2 linked regions of the Lepisosteus oculatus genome follow. The protein of the gene in region 2 interacts with the protein of the main gene of each other region in a biochemical or structural test. Links are inferred from orthologs where the notes say so. Each region holds a gene or a part of one and is shown on either strand. Other genes may lie near its edges.

Region 1 (3,922 bases), on a different chromosome or scaffold from region 2:
CGTAGTCTGCCTGAGCACTTTTACACTTTGAGCCACATGGCAACCCTACCCTTTGAGCATTTTAGCTTTAAAAGAGCCAACAGTGTCCAAGAATAACCAGCTGAGACTTAGAAAACAGACAATATGTGGAAAGTGAACTGGCAACGTGCAACTCAACACTACATAAAAATGGCAGAGAACCTGCCTTTCAGACCCCACTTTGCTCCAGTCTCACAGTGATTCTAACCAACATGATTGCAGAAGAAGAAGAAGAATTCCTTACACTTGTACAGTGTTTTTCTGGACACTCCACTCAAAGCACTTTACAGGTAATGAGTAATCCCACTATCACCACCAATGTGCAGCCCCCACCCGGATGACGTGATGGCACCCATAGTGCGCCAGTATGCTCCCCACATACCAGTTCTCAGTGGGGAGAACAGATGCAAAATGTATAGAGCTGACCTTCTTTGCCAGCTCCTTCTCCTTTTCACTCTGGATGTTGGCTCTTTCTTTCTCCAAGAGGAGCTGGGCTTTTCTCTGCTTGTCCCGCTCTTGCTCTGTGTGCTGCAGAGAGTCCCGCAGCACTCGGATCTCCCCGTTCTTCATCAGCAGCTGAGACTCCGCTTCCTTCAGCTGACAGGGAGGGGAGGGAGAAAGAAAAGAGATATCGCTCGTTAGACCCTTTTCCGAGTTAACCACACGACTTTGGTAAGTCAAGCTGAGATTTCTTTATTCCAATAAAGAAAGGAGGACAGACAGACTTAACAGGTTAACCTTGTGTCTCACTCACTTTCGTAAGGACAGCAACAGGCTTTTATTCTTGAAGATGAGCAAAATTTTCAGACACAAACATACATTTCTGATTGGACAGTATCAATTTCTTACCATATCAGGTGTAAACAAGGTCAGAAAGTCAAGCCGTTAGGTCAGCCTCAAGCTGACCAATTAACCAAGCAATTAACCAAGATCCCTAATTAACTAAGACCCCTGCAGCTTTTCACGTTGCTAAAAAGCATAAGATACGTGAGTTACAGCTCCAATCAAAGACTTTGAAGAAAACCCAGCAAGCTGGGAATGCACAAAAAAACCAAATAGTTCTTGCGGGCTTTATTGTTAACTCATGACCGGCATACGTTCATTCAACTCAGACATTTTTAATGAGTAGGAAATGTCTGCTCAATATGGACTTCAACAGCCAAACTGACCAAAATTCTCCATGACACTAGACAGAATCCCTATCCCAACTCAAGGAGTGGGTAACGATGTCTAATAGAATACTTGAAGTAACTATGGTGTTTCATAGTACTGAAATTTGAGATTTTTTAAAAAATTGAGCATAAAGTGACAATACTGTCACAGTTGTACATAAGAAGAACCTTTAAGCCATATTCCAATTTTTCAAAAAACATTTAATTTAGTGCAAGCTCACCTTTTTCTTAAGCTCTTCATGTTGAGCTTCAAATGACTCGTAGAATGCTTCTCTGCCTCTCCTGAATTGTTCTCCATTTCCTGTCAGGAAATCCCAAACCCACAGTCTTTTTAATCATGAAATGAGCGAGCAGCAGGAGTGGTTCCTTTGCAAAGTCACTGGTTAACACTTACTAAATGAAACAGGGGAGTTAATGTAACAATTGTATACATTGCACAACAAATACTTTTGTTCTACTAGAAAAGCTGCTGATAGTTTCCACTCCCCTGCATTACAATTAATTTTATACAAGATAACATGTATGCACTCTAATGTGTTATGAACAACATTTTAAAAGCATACCGCAGGTTTCCTTGGTTGTGGATCTGTCAGAGGTGCCCAACTTGCTCAGCCCACCATCGCTGCCCACATGATAACTGTTGCCAATAGCAAAGGTAGTTCTGACCTCTGCTGTTGGCCTGCTTTTCGTGGTTTGTTCAGGTTTGTTCGCTTCCACAGGCTCAGTAAATGCCTGGGATGCAATAGTATCAATCTCATCCAGATCATCTTGTGTAAAGTCATCGTCCTCTCCGAAGCAATCGGCCACGTTCTGACCTGCTCCCTTATGGCGCTTCAGAGGAGGGCACTCCATGCCATGGTCTCCGGGTGAACGTCGTCCAGTGACGGCAGAAAGCCCCGCTACCGAAGCACCCAATTTGTCTTGAGCAACACTGATATTTCTCCTGTTCGCATAAATATTGTAGTCAGACATCCTGACAATCAGTACTCTGGAAGATCAGAAAAGAATAAACAAAATATTAAAACTAAATAACAGACCTCACAATAAGTAAAGATCTTCTTCTCCGATCAGCACCAGAGCTTTTAACCCTGGTGTTTACTGTATGCCCACTGTATACAGTATGTGTACCCGGACCGTAATTTATGAATGGCGGAAAGAAGAAAAAACATATTTTCTGGTCGGGTAAGGACCGAATACCTTCGAATATCAATAAAACCGAAAGCGCTTAAGGCAAAAGCATGTTTAGAAAAAAGTTTTTAAAATTCAAAAATATTAATTTCCGTGACAAACTGGGGAGGTTACACCGAAAACCGAAAGCAAATGAGATGTTTTAAATCCTCTTTAGAAAAGAAGGATGAACACATCGGGTTTATCTTAACGTTTAACAAAATGCTTATCATTCGTAAATGGACAATTATATAAAGAAGTAAAGCTATATATTAAATATTTAATATATATTATATTAGAAAGTGGGAATGACTGAACTACTGCTCACACATTTTTAACTCAAACAAAACTTCGCTAACTTTTTGGGAGAAACAGAAAATAAAGTATCTGAAATAAAACTGAATACGTCCTGAAAACAAACCTGATATTAAATCACACAATTCCATTGCGTAGTGCCACTTCAATTATACAATTCTCATATTCAGACTGCAAAAGCAGACCCGAACTAACACATCCTCATCTCATTCTACATACTTTACAATATTGATTTCTGCACTCTAGACGTCTCAAGTACCACAGCCAATCATATCGCAGGTTCTAACAATAACTGTGAAGTAAGACGCGATTCTATTGGAGAAAAAGGCAGTTGCTGTCTACGGAAAGCGAATAGGACACATTTTGTTTCCGCCGTTAGAGCGGAAGTTATCTTCAACAAAACAGAACAGGGCATAGTAGGATAGCTACGAAGCGTATTATTGTGTTTTTATTGAACTCTTTGCAATCACACATTTTGCCCTTACAGTATGGGAGACCAGGTGTTAAATGTTCCCCTAATGTTTTCCTTCCAGTTTTAACTGACCTCGATATTTGTTCTTGAATAATTAAACGCGTTTCCTTTATGTTAAATATCAAAGAACAGTAGTCTTCTGTAGCTTTGGTATTCCAGTGTTTGTGCACTTTAGCAAAATTATTTTACCTCGGTCACTCGCATGCCAAGCTAGGAAGGATACATGCTTTATTTTCTATTTCGTTCTCCATGAAACTCCACGTGGTTTCTCCCTTTTTTTTAGAGACTCGGTTCGTAGAAAACCTTTTGTTAAAATCACCATGAATAATTACCAGGAGCTACATCAATACGCCTAGTTTGGGCAGCTTTAATAATATAGTACTCAATTTTTTTTAAAGTAGTGCTGTTGTACATACTACAAAACAATGAAAGAAATAACAAGTGAATTCCAAAAAACGGGGGCAAGTTATTAGTTTAACTGTAACATCCCTCTGCTAAAAAAAAATATATTTAAAATGTTCTCCGATTACTCTGGTATTCATTCGAAGGAGTTAGAAAGGCTGGGTATAAGGGTCAAGAAGAGGTTTATTCTATGCTGAAAGCAAAAACTAGGGGAAAAAATCCGCCGTGGAAAACGCTTTTTTTCAAGGTTACGTGTTTAGACCTAACCACTGCTTATTTGCGATAGTTGTTTGTTGCTTTCATTTGAATAACGTCTGCTCCCTGATCTTCCGTTTTATTCATTTGCTAAAACGGTTACAGGTCTCCCCGTCCTGCC
Region 2 (3,922 bases):
GTTTCAAAGGTTAGTAGTTATCCTGTCATCAAAATCAGTATCGTTATAAGGTAAACTTTTCTTTCAGTTGTGTAGGCAATCTATTCTAACAACCTACTTTTTATCAAAGCGTGCAGAAATGTTAATTTATTACAACCAGGAACTCTACATCAAAGTTATGATCATTCACCACTCCTACTGGTTATATACACGGTCTTTGCCTCAGTTATTTGCATTTTAAAAAATACATGACTCTGACAGTACACTTAAATATCAGCACAACTCACAGGTCTATGTCAGTTCTCTGCTCCACTTGTCATGTTTCCTGAAGCATATTAGACACGTAAGAGACATAAGGAACAAAACATGAGGACGTTGTGTGACACTAACCACCCACTGATCTGTTATTCATTGATTTCCACGTCCTCATCGACTACTGAATTACAGCACTGACCTAAGGACACAAGATAGGTTACAAATAAGAAGAGGCCATTCAGTCCGTGGTTAGTCAGGGATCTGATCCAGCAGTTTATGAAAGAAGCTAGGGTGTCGACTTCAGCAAAGCGTTACATTTAGTTGGAAATGTTTGTACTCATACTGTATACAGGTATGCAAATGATTCAGCCTATAAAACCTACTGTAGTATTTTGTATGTATTCTCTTAAATATAAAATGTTATTTTTTATCTGTCATGTCTGTGGATCATATTAGTAAAGAACTGTACAGTATACCAATGAGGTATCGGTGAAAGAAAGAATTTTGTGGTAGTATGACGTTTAATGATAAAACAAAATGCCACAGCTCTCTCGGTGCCTTCGAAATAAAACAGATCAGTCCGTTACTTTTTAGCAGGCTAACATTTTTCCACTTGCCAGTCATGATTTAAAGTTGCTTAAAACAAGCCAAAAATTGCACAGTCTTAGGTTTAAGCTTATGCGAGCTCACACGGAACTCACACGCTTTGTGTCCCAGACGACTACTTCAAGTTCACTTCTGCTCTTGCTGGGAAGACATTTGTCCCTCGCTGGATGCCGTACCGCTGCGTTACAGCGAGGGAGCGAAAGTTTTGAGATATGCGTGTGGTCATGAAATGCTGCTGACTTAATGTACAAAAGAGTGCACACAATATATCTACGTCCACTTTGAATGTACATTATTAAAAAAACACAAAGATGGACCAAGGCTTAGAAATGGCAGCCATGATTCCTGCTTTGCAGGAACTTGGGAGGTAAGTGTTCTTAACTCATCTTGGAAATATAGTTCATTCTGTGAGATCTGACGTCTAACAAAATAACTTTAACTTCGTGAACTACCTGGTTTTTAGTTTATACACTGCATTATATGACAATCCTTTTTAACGAGCCACGTATTTTAGCTAATAAATTATGCTTCTTTTTGTCTGTAGCGCTCCCCCGGAGGAGTACAACAGTGTTGTCCAGAAACCCAGACAAATACTCTGCCAGTTTATTGACAGGATATTGACAGACGTAAATCTGGGTAAGTGGAAAATGTGTTTGCCTCCTCATTAGGTTAAACAACACGCACGTAGCTTTCCGTTTTAAAATCCTGAAAGTGTTAAAAATCGAAAATATAGTTATTGAAGTTTTTCAGAAAATATTTCTCGTTCCTGGCTAGTGTCAGCTGTCTCTGAAGCAAAGCCGGATCTAACTCTTGGATAGGTCGCCAGATAGTTGTACAGTCCACATACTTGGGGACAATTTAGAGGCACCTACCTAAAATGGTGCATTTGAATCGTTCCTGTGCTTGTGTACCCTGTGACAACAAAGCAGCAGGTCTTTGGAAGATGAGAGGAAACTGGAGCCGCTGGCAAAAAGCAGTGTGGGTTTGTGGAGAACATGCAAATTCCAAACGAAGTCACTCCAGTCTAAAATCATGTTGAGGACCTAAGATGAGGTGCTAATCCCAAAAATACCCTCTTCTAAATTGTTGTTGCAGAAATACATCCTGTCTGCATTAGATAATGAGATTTGTCAGTTGACTTTTATTTCGGATTGAGGTATAAAAAATGTAAAATCGCAAAAAAGCCTTTAATGAATCTTTAAAGTAATCAGCAGATACTGTTAGTTTAATTGTAACAATAACTCTTTTATTCCAATAATTCAGAGGTCAAGTCACACAAACATTGTCTTTGCTCTGAAGCTCAGTTCTTTAAACCTCCTGCACTGCACTCATTTTTGCACATTAGAGTTTAAATCCTGAGGAACACGTTACAGTGCTCAAAACATAAGATCCCTGCAGCATCATTAGCCAATAAATTAATAGAAGAAGGAAACAATACAATTTAATGAGTAATCTTACAAACTTTCTTCTTTCAGTTGCCTTAGAATTGACAAAAAAGAATGTTCCACAGACCGCCTGCATGATGTTGCTTGACTTCATACAACACATCATAAAGTCATCCCCACTGATGTTTGGAAACCCTGCCTGCCAATTCAAGGATATGGAAAACAGTTCCACTGGTGAGTTTTGTGTTTTGATGAATGAATATATTAACTCTAATGTCAAAAAGAATGAACCTTGGAATGTATTGTCACAGACATCATCGTTGGTCCCCTCTATCTCCACCCAATAAAGTCACTTACTTATTAATGGCAGTTAACAGTGCTGGTTAAACTGCACTTCTTTGATTTGCTGCTTCTGGATATATTGAACACTCATTTACTTAATTAAGAAGTGATTAAGACATCCTGTGAATTCCAGGGTTCAGACAGCCAGATTTGAGTTCCTGTACTTCCAGTATGTCTGTAAATGAAAACACGTGACAGTAAAGTTTAGCTGCAGCTATTTTTGTGTTAAATGAAACTACAGTTCGGTGATTTCTGTGGTTTCAGTCAGTGTTCTCTTTTTGTTTTAAAGATTTCAGTAAGTGGATTATTACTCGACTTCTGAGGATTGCTGCAGCCCCTAAGTGTGAGACCTTGCATCAGAAGATAGCCAGCGTCATCTGTTCCTTACTGCAGCTGTTTAAAGTTAAATGCCCTGTTATATTCGGAATGTTGTCAAAGGAACTTTTAGCGCTTCTCCAGGATCTGATCTGTTTGAATAAGCGAAATGCACGAAGTACTTGCGGCAGAAAGCCTCCTATGTGGCCTTTTGCTATTGAGAGATTTTCAGTGATCCCAGAAGGTTGCGCCACCTATTTGACGCCTACAGTCTTTCAGCTGTCATCAGTGATTTCTGCTGAAATGCTCGAAGGCACCGTGCTCACCGTTCTGGCAGACGTCCTTCATGGCTTTTTTTTTAGAAGAGAGGTCAGCATTATTTGGGAGCTGAGCTGCTCTGTTATGCAGTATGGAAGCCCTAAATTAAAGGGGAGAGCCATGGAACTGATCTCTCGCGTTGTGGAGCTCGGTGGTTTCCCCGAAGAAAACGCACATTTTTTCTTCGCGGCTTTTCTCCAGGTGCTGCATTCCTTCAGTACGGCTGACAAATCGGCCTTGAAGCTGTTTGAGAAGCAGTTTGCCAGGCTGACCCGGTTAGTGTTTGTACACGAACCGGAGACGCACCGAAAGCTCGAGCGGGTTTACCTGAACGTGGTGTTGGAGAAGCTCCACGAGCTCGTTGTGAACGGGCTGCTGGAAAGGTTTGAGTCGGAGGAAATCCAGACGGCCCTCCTCGAAATATTTCGGTTCGTACTGGAGTTTGTTCCCCCTGGATACGAGTCGGCAGAGCAGATCAGAAAAGAACGCGTTCATGGCATCTGCAAAGCCCTGATCGAGATGATTGGAGCTCGGAGGCACCAGGAGGTTAGTGAGGCACTGTTTGTAATTTGACTTTTTGATCCTGCTTATATATTTCTGCAAATTAAAATGTCACACTTTGCATGTGCACATTTTTGGTTTTGGGTGTTAGAATACATAGGAACAAGTTATAGGTTTATTCCATGCTGAAAAAAAGAAGAAAGAGAACACGTTTCGGCCGT

What was found.
Region 1: the proteins of atr (region 2) and atrip form a complex in vitro, tested with the Homo sapiens proteins (4 studies listed by BioGRID and IntAct, with this or other methods). The link is inferred for Lepisosteus oculatus from reciprocal best matches to the Homo sapiens genes ATR and ATRIP.

Annotation. Positions count from the first base shown.
Region 1 is NC_090699.1:61,370,199-61,374,120, forward strand, and holds the start of atrip (ATR-interacting protein), read right to left. Parts: upstream 2,906-3,922; 5' UTR 2,779-2,905; intron 2,179-2,778; 5' UTR 2,163-2,178; coding exon 1,754-2,162; intron 1,492-1,753; coding exon 1,412-1,491; intron 616-1,411; coding exon 445-615; intron 1-444. UniProt on the Homo sapiens protein: Required for checkpoint signaling after DNA damage. Required for ATR expression, possibly by stabilizing the protein.
Region 2 is NC_090708.1:15,723,295-15,727,216, forward strand, and holds the start of atr (serine/threonine-protein kinase ATR), read left to right. Parts: upstream 1-1,027; 5' UTR 1,028-1,151; coding exon 1,152-1,207; intron 1,208-1,384; coding exon 1,385-1,476; intron 1,477-2,315; coding exon 2,316-2,459; intron 2,460-2,856; coding exon 2,857-3,746; intron 3,747-3,922. UniProt on the Homo sapiens protein: Serine/threonine protein kinase which activates checkpoint signaling upon genotoxic stresses such as ionizing radiation (IR), ultraviolet light (UV), or DNA replication stalling, thereby acting as a DNA damage sensor.